Linked DNA regions of Saccharomyces cerevisiae S288C. The protein of the gene in region 1 binds, or shares a complex with, the protein of each later gene. Each region holds a gene or a part of one and is shown on either strand. Other genes may lie near its edges. A codon is read from its position in the direction of its gene.

Region 1 (2,794 bases):
TAAGTTGGCCATCGAAGGCACGCTGTGTATCCCAACTTGTACAAAATTTCTTACAAACTTGTTTTTGTCTTTTAATATGTCATCCCAGCAGGGGTCTTTGTCATCATCACTCTTCTTTATTCGGAACTTTTCTTGAAAATGCCTAAAGATGTGGTCAATCGCAGAATTAACGTATGATTCAAACTCATTCTTAAACTTAGCATCAATCACTTTAGTAGGATGACTTCTACTCAGCTGCATAGTTCGTGGTAGAATCAATAAATGGCACTCTGATTTAGGAAACGAGTCTCTAATTATGGACACTTTATCATCAAAGTATGTGACTGTATCATCGTTTACCGTTTCTGGGCTGGTAACGTAGTTTTTTAACGCATACCTCCATGACATTTTTCAGTGTTTTGTTTTATTGTCTTCTCTTATTGTTGCCCTGCAGGATTAGATTGGCTTTTTCACTTTTAAGTGCATCCTTGGGCAAGATGTAAGTTAAAACAGAAAACGAGAGACCCACGGGAGTATACTAATATAGTTACAAATCATTTTTATAGATTAAATATATAGTCATAATTAACTATCGGTGCAAATAGCTATAAATTCGTTTTCATTAATCTCGCCATCACCATCCAAATCAAACTCTTCAATCATCGCTCTCAGCTCTTCATCCGTCAAAGTTTCTCCTAATTCTTTAGCTACACGCCTCAAGTTTTTAATACTTATTTTCCCAGTATGGTCGTCATCAAATAATTGGAATGCCCTTTTTATTTCATCTAACGGATCTCTCTTCAATATTTTTTCCCCCATTACAATATAAAAATCATCATACTTCATCAAATGCCGCCCCTCACTATCATATTCATCTATTAAGTCAAGTATTTCTCTCTTGGGTAGCTCAAATCCCAGGGCCTTCATTGCTACTTTCAACTCGTGGTAATCGAGGAACCCATCATTGTTCATATCGAACAATGAAAACGCCTCATATATTTCTTGCTTTTGCTCCTCCAATAACTCGCTATTAAGTGGACCAGACTGTAGCGATGACCTGTTCTTACTCATACTGTATGATTTATTTCCGTTTCTTCTTTGGTTCACTTCCTTTCTCGTTTAATAAATCTCTTCCATACTTACTAATTAGGATTCTTCTTTTTTTCTCTCTATTTCGCAATAGTTAAGCCTCCAAAACTCTTGGAAATTTAGTAGATAAAATTACGGCATCAGGCAAGAACTAGTTAAGCAAGTACTTCCTGCATCATTAAAGTTGTTCTTTTCCTAAACGCCTCTCAATACTAGAGAAATACATCAAGCTTTGGGTTATTTGAAATCTGTAACTAATTTGCAAACCAAGATAATACCCCCGGGTATTGAGATCAAGTAATTTTAATGAGGAGCAGTTATCAACCAGTGTCAACTACAAACTTTGAACATGAAAATGCTATACCTACTGCGTCGTCGTCCCATAATCTGTTGATGAGCCAGCGTTTTGATGATTCTCCTCCTAGTTCTAACGACAACAGTATAGAAACTAATATAACGCCTCCACCTGAACCACCTTCTTATGAATTTGATATAGAGGACCCTCACGATGATCTTCACAAAAGAACACATCTACAGAGGGTTTCAATTGGGTTTCAGGAAAAAATTTTGGAACCCTTAATGGAAAACATCATTCATCCACTCTTACAAATATCAAAATTCGTTCCAGACAAAGCTGACTATTACTTAAGTAAAATCGGAAATCCCTTTATACTTCGAAGGTTCTTTTACATCATTTTCATGTCATTTATTGCATATTATGTCTTGTCAAGTGGCTACTTATTCAACGAAAAGGCATCAGGATCTAAAGGGATGTTTTCTCAACACGATATACTTTTTGAATATGCCAAAAAATCCGTGGATTTGGCAAAGTTTGAGAGAGATTTGGAATATATTAGTAGCATGCCTCATGGATCCGGAACGAAGGGTGATGCAGCTATTTATCGATACATTCAGGAATCTTTTGACAACAATGGGTTGAAATTGGTTAAAGAAATGGGATACTCAGTTTATTCTAATTATCCAGGCAATGTATCAATTTCATATTATGATAACAAGAATGAAAAGCATGATCTAGAACTTTCTAAAGAAAATTTCAATCCGTTGAGTTCTAACGGGAAATTATCCAAAGTGAGCTTGATTTATGGAGGCAAAGGTACAACATACGATTTACAACATTTAAAAGATTCGAAAACGATAGAAGATGGGAAGGACTATGTGCTTTTACTGCAATATGATAAATTAGTGAGTCAGCAAGTACTAATTGCTGAGAAATTCGGAGCTAAAGCTGTAATCTTCATATCTGAGCCATATGGTGAGAATATAGACGTTGTTCAATCTAAGCCTGTAGGATTGCCCCAATATTCGACTGGTGATGCATCAGGATTGAATTGGGATGGTTCTCCTGTAGAAGAAAAGGATCATAAATTTTGGCGTCAAACTCATATTCCAACTATCCCAATCTCCACGAGACAAGGAAAAGAGCTACTATCGCGTTTATCTTCAGGAGGAGTAACGGTTGATGATGGTAATAGTGATCGTAGTAACAGTGGGAAAATGGGAGACGTATTGATCGATGTAGATCTGCAAACTAATGTTAGGGAAAAGCATTTTATTCCTAATATTGTTGGTAAAATTGAAGGGAGAGAACAATCAGACAAAGCTATAATAATTGCTGCATCGAGAAATTCCATCAATTTTGGAACTACTTATCCCAATTTTGGTACAGCTGCATTATTATCTATAGTTCAATTATTCCAAGAGGTGA
Region 2 (5,238 bases), on another chromosome or scaffold:
CTTACCCTCGTATTACAATAACCATTAGTGTCTGCCTTTGATACAAATATTAACCGTTCGGCATCTGCTTCATCCCAAAGCGTGACATACACATACACTTCTAATGAAAAAAAAACTTTTCCTTGGTGAAATAGACTAAAGAAGTGTTGAGTCTTGATCGTGCTTTTTGGGACCCTTTTGTCGTCCTTATTTGGGGTTACGACAGCATGGGTTTCTAACGGAATAGATTGCAACGATAAGTATTCAAATTGTTCACTGACAGGTAGCACGGAACTTAGGAAGTCATTCAGTGACATGTCTTATTGAAGACCGGTTGAATTGACCTTTTAACTCTACTGGACAACTCTATTGACAAACTGTAGTTTGTTAAGTAATGCGTTATGGCGTCCATTTTCCATTATAGCTTACAACGCGAACACGAAAAGTATAGTATGTTGTGATGTTTTCATAGACCTGGAGAATATTATTAGTAATTGTATGCATCTCAGAAGCAAGAAAGGTTACGACTACATATGCACACATACATACGTACATAATATATATATCTATTGACGTTTACGACTTAACGGGGATTTATCATGCTCTCTTATATAATCCATATCTTGATCGATTTTAGGAGAATTGGCGCTTAGGCTAAAAGGTACAGCGGGTATTCTGCCAAAATCAATATGGTCAACTTTGGATGGCATGTTTCTAGTGGTACGCCTAGGAGAATACCTTAGAGGTTTTCCTCGCGTCGGAGATCCGTTTAAGCCTGTCGTACTTTCAAGGTTGATCTGTTTTTTAGCTGTAGAATCAAGAACACTGGAAGATTTCACCGGACTTGGTATGGCTCTTCTTGCCCTGCTATAATGCGACTTCATCGCTTCCATTCTGTGCTGCTTTATTCTTTCTGAGCCTGGTATGGTTGAGGCGTTTTGAGAGTCTGATCTTATGGGAGTTTTTAGTTCATGTTTAAGATTGAAGTCCTTCCTTCTCTTTGGAGAACTGTCTGAACGATTTTTCCATAATAATAACAATCCCCTTACAGTGGCCCTGTCCCACCGATGACGAAACACCTCGACTGTCTCATCATTACGCTTAATTTTTAGGAATCGAAGACTCCACATTTTCAAGAATTTGGATGTAATTATGAATTGTTTATTAGCTTCCGATTGTTCCAATAATGTACTCATATAAAATATTTCGTCTAGATGAGTTTTCCAAATATAAAACGTCTTGACTAACACAAATTCTTCGCGAACTTCGTCTGCTAATTCTTCTGATTTTACTATCTCTAAAAGTCTTTCTCTAAATTTCTTCAGCACCATTTTTTCAAGCTGGTAGTTTCTCTTTGAAATAGCCTGAATGTTACATTCTTCTGTGTAGAAGCAAAATCTATTTCGCCAAGCGTTGAACAGTTGGCTTTGAAGTTCGCGCTCTTTACTCTTTTCATAAACGTGTAAAATATCGTTTAACTTATGCCTGACTTTGAACCTTGTGGCTTTCCGCCACTTTAAAAAGGCCTTAGAAAGCTTTACTCTATCCATAGAGGGCGCCAGTTTCGTATATAGCAAATGAACATTATCAATATGCATTAGCGTCCGTTTTACAGTCAAAATTGCATGTGTCTTACATAAGAAATTGTATCTATCCTCCAATTCCTTAGTTTTAATCAGGCGTTCTTTCCATATAGCTAGACACTCATTTACGAGACCCTCTTCGTAAAATTTGGATGCTTCGTCATTCATAGAATTCATTTGTAGCATCCTCCTTTTCCACACACCAAGATATTTTGCACAAAATGCCGTTTTAACATGTTCGCTCGATATTTTCCCATACTGTATTCTTTTCCTCCATGTACGATACGCGCTTGCTTGAATACTCTTTTTACATTTCTGCTCAAATATTTTTAACTTTACTTCAAGTTTCCAACTTCGCAATGATGACTTGAGCAAATTAGTCCTCGAATAATCGCTTGCTTTGAGGTCAATATATAGAAGTTTTTTCCATGAATGAAAAATACGCTTCACGAGGTTAGCCTCTTTTAGACTTACAATTGAATACAAATGCAGATGGTCTTCGAATCTTTTCAGCCACATCTTCTCAAAAACGCACCTCAAAAGTGTCTGATTTAGTTTACTCTTTGCAATTGCCTCTTGTTGACTATGTTGAAATGACCGGTTTAATTTGCGAAAAAACTTTTGTTTGATGAATTTATTCTCCAGTTCATAAAGTGCCCCAAGTTTATCTTCGTTTTCAATGTTTTTCTTTTCCCATTTATTCAGATATTTTCTTTGTAGAGAAAACGACCTCACTTTTTCTGCAATGCTCTTATTGTATTCATAGTTTATAACTTTCTGTTTTATTCTTTCGAAAATCCTTCTTTCCAACCCGTGGTAGTTTATTTCTTTATGTCTTAGCTTCCATATATGAAATGTTGTTCGTAAAAATATCTTCTTAATGTTGTCAGTGTTAACAGTTTCTAAGTGTTTCCAATGCTCTTGTGCCTTTAAAATTTTCCTAAACATCTTATTCAAAAAGGCCTGATCTGCTAACCTTGACTGCTCCTTAAGAGTTTGTGTTAAAGTTATCCATTGTTGGAACGAGCGAAATAGTAGCCAAGTATTCCTAAAACTTTCAGCTTCATCGTTGGCCATCTGTGAGTATTTTAATGTTTTATCACTCCAAATATAGAAGACGGCTTCCTGTACCCTCAGCTTTGCTTGATTTGCAAACCTGTTTGCCTCTTCATTCAATTCACATACAGTCTTCCAGTGATTAAAATGTCTTCTGATTTTGTTCTTAGCGTAGGTATATTCTGCAAGGGACAATGCAATGAATTTGTTGCGAGGGTGGATTAAAAATATTTCTAAAATCTCTTCTATAACAGAATTGAAAGTGAAAAAACCTTTCAGTTCATCTTCCAATATTGTGAAGTACTCATCGCGTAAAGGATTGATGCCTTCTTGAATAAGAATATTGACATAGTTTTTGAAAATTTGTAAAAAACTTCTGGATAGTTTGAAATGAACCAAAAAAGCTTCAATCTGGCGGTATAAATCTTCGATTACCTCAACGGATATATCATTCAAATCATATCGTAAACCATTCTTAGGAAGATCGGTAACGTCTTCATACTCCAGATTTGTCGAATCAACCGGTGGAGAAGGAAGATGGAACGGCGGGTCTTCGAAAAAGCCTTCAGTTTTATTTAATTCTATAGGCTTTAAAGCGTTAACAATATACCTTTCTGCGCCTCCATGAATTAGTGATTCGGTGGAATCCGTTATTTGCCCTTGCTTGATGAGTACATCAGTGGGAATATTAGTTGGAGATGTCTCGGGTACGAATTTATCACGCAGAAGATTCTCCGTTGATTTATTTGTCGTGCCGAATTTGCCCATAACCTAGCACATATAGGCAATAGATTGTGATTAATAGGCCACCTTTATTTTTTTGTTGCTGCCTTCTTGAGTTTCCCATTGCCAATCTTCGCGCATCATGGCACTATCTATTTATTTTACCTATACATAATATTACCCTCCATTCGATAATAATAATAATAATAGTTAACACAGAAAAATGATGAGATACAGGTAGACTGTTCATTACAAAAACGTGGTTCTATGGTTCTATATATGTATGGTTATTTATTTACTTATTTATCCGTGCATTCTTTATCTAAATTCCTCTCCAGACACATTTTTCTACCAGATCGTAACTCTTGGTGCTTTGAAACTTAATGAGACCCATGTTTTCAAAGGCGAAGATTGCTTGCATGAATAAAATTAGTGCTACTTTGTCAAATGCGTCCGGTGTTTCTGCTAGTTCTAAGAGTTTGGTGTTGGAGGGATCTTTTCTTATGAAATTTAATATTTCCTCTTTTGGTAATGTTTCTCTGAACGCAATGTAGAAATCGTAAATGTTGATAGTCATATTCGCCTCACGATAAAGCTTGAATAGCTGACCCAGTACCGGAGCCATTATTTTATCCAAATCTCCAGAAAGAGTATCATAATTTTCTTTATCAAGCGAAGGCAGCACCTGCTCCCAACTTAGTAAGTTATCTTCGATATTTGACTTGTAAGAAGGGAAAATCGACTGGGTAAGTAATCCACTTCTGTTGTCCAAAGTAAATAGCTCTTGAAAAATTGTATCAATGGGTTCAAAATGAAGCCGATCCTTATACTCTTTACATGCTGACCAACGATCTAGATAGGAGTCTAGTTTGCCAATAAGCAAATTATGATATAATTCTATCAGATTAAAATTGGTTATATTCAATTCTTCTTCGAGGAATCGAGCAACAAACTTAGCATGCCCGTTAATCGGGTTCTCTCTTACCAAAAACTCAACAAAAAACTCTTCTAGGCCTCTGTTTTTGTTTGTCAATAATGAAAGAATTTCGTCAGCAGGAGCATGCTGCTTTATAAGACCTTCGACAAAGAACATGAATGTAGGACATCTGCTCAGTATTTTTAAGTAGTCGTCGTTCAAAAAATCAACATTTACAGGGTCAATGAATACTGAAAAGGCATTCTGGAAAAAGTACGACATCAACGAATAATCCAGCATCTTCGTCAATAATTGTAAGTTGTGATTAGTATTATTTGCCATCTTGCTGAGAATGAATTCCACAAAACGATCTGAAAGATTTAGTTTGCCATCAACCGTATCCAAAAAGCTTTGAAAGATTTGGTTTCCGTACTTAAATCCTTTATTACTCGACACGTCTAGTTTATGATAATTTCTCTTCAGAAGTCGTATGGTTGATTGTCTCAAATTTTTCTCAATATTTGACAAGTTTGTATTAATATTAAAGATTAAACTTATTTTAACATGGTCATACTTGAAGGCACTTTTCAATAGAATTATGAAGTTATCCAATGTGTTGAAGTTAATAGAATCTACATCTTTAAAATTAAATACCATTGCTAAGTCTTTTCCAAAAAGCCTTTTGAAGTTTTCCACAAGTGACAGATCGTATGATACATCATTGTTTTGCTCGGTAAAATCGCCATCTTCATCGTTAATGTCTTCATACTTGATAGTTGGATGTTCTTCTGCATCAGCTGCGCTGTAAAGTTTGTACATAGACCTACGAAGCATCATTCTTACATTCGGAGATTCTTTCGGAGTCAATTCAATCAAAACGTTGTAGCGAGAAGATTCGTCTTTAAGTTCAATTTTTGTCGTACTATCTGAACCTAATAGGAAAATAGTGTTAAAGCATCGCCTTTTCTGAGTAGTTTCACT

What was found. Proteins that work in one complex are often made in the same cells at the same time.
Region 2: the proteins of CDC31 (region 1) and SFI1 are in contact, whole or in part, in a crystal structure (PDB 2GV5), measured with the Saccharomyces cerevisiae proteins. Residues at the interface, in NP_014900.3 of Saccharomyces cerevisiae: Glu20 (codon at 993), Glu24 (codon at 981), Glu27 (codon at 972), Ala28 (codon at 969), Leu31 (codon at 960), Phe32 (codon at 957), Asp41 (codon at 930), His43 (codon at 924), Glu44 (codon at 921), Val47 (codon at 912), Lys50 (codon at 903), Ala51 (codon at 900), Leu52 (codon at 897), Gly53 (codon at 894), Arg92 (codon at 777), Glu97 (codon at 762), Arg100 (codon at 753), Ala101 (codon at 750), Leu104 (codon at 741), Phe105 (codon at 738), Leu118 (codon at 699), Arg120 (codon at 693), Val121 (codon at 690), Ala122 (codon at 687), Glu124 (codon at 681), Leu125 (codon at 678), Glu127 (codon at 672), Thr128 (codon at 669), Leu129 (codon at 666), Glu133 (codon at 654); in NP_013098.1 of Saccharomyces cerevisiae: Arg670 (codon at 1,379), Tyr674 (codon at 1,367), Cys678 (codon at 1,355), Asn679 (codon at 1,352), Gln681 (codon at 1,346), Ala682 (codon at 1,343), Ile683 (codon at 1,340), Lys685 (codon at 1,334), Arg686 (codon at 1,331), Asn687 (codon at 1,328), Tyr688 (codon at 1,325), Gln689 (codon at 1,322), Leu690 (codon at 1,319), Glu691 (codon at 1,316), Lys692 (codon at 1,313), Val694 (codon at 1,307), Leu695 (codon at 1,304), Lys696 (codon at 1,301), Lys697 (codon at 1,298), Phe698 (codon at 1,295), Arg699 (codon at 1,292), Glu700 (codon at 1,289), Arg701 (codon at 1,286), Leu702 (codon at 1,283), Ile705 (codon at 1,274).

Annotation. Positions count from the first base shown.
Region 1 is NC_001147.6:809,264-812,057, reverse strand, and holds CDC31 (centrin), read right to left. Parts: upstream 1,051-2,794; coding exon 565-1,050; downstream 1-564. Other genes in the region: HNT3 (DNA 5'-adenosine monophosphate hydrolase), read right to left, coding at 1-387; TRE2 (putative zinc metalloprotease), read left to right, coding at 1,375-2,794. UniProt on the Saccharomyces cerevisiae protein: Functions as a component of the spindle pole body (SPB) half-bridge. At the SPB, it is recruited by KAR1 and MPS3 to the SPB half-bridge and involved in the initial steps of SPB duplication.
Region 2 is NC_001144.5:141,349-146,586, reverse strand, and holds SFI1 (Sfi1p), read right to left. Parts: upstream 3,387-5,238; coding exon 546-3,386; downstream 1-545. Other genes in the region: H3 histone acetyltransferase RTT109, read right to left, coding at 1-296; ORC3 (origin recognition complex subunit 3), read right to left, coding at 3,664-5,238. UniProt on the Saccharomyces cerevisiae protein: Component of the spindle pole body (SPB) half-bridge involved in the initial steps of SPB duplication.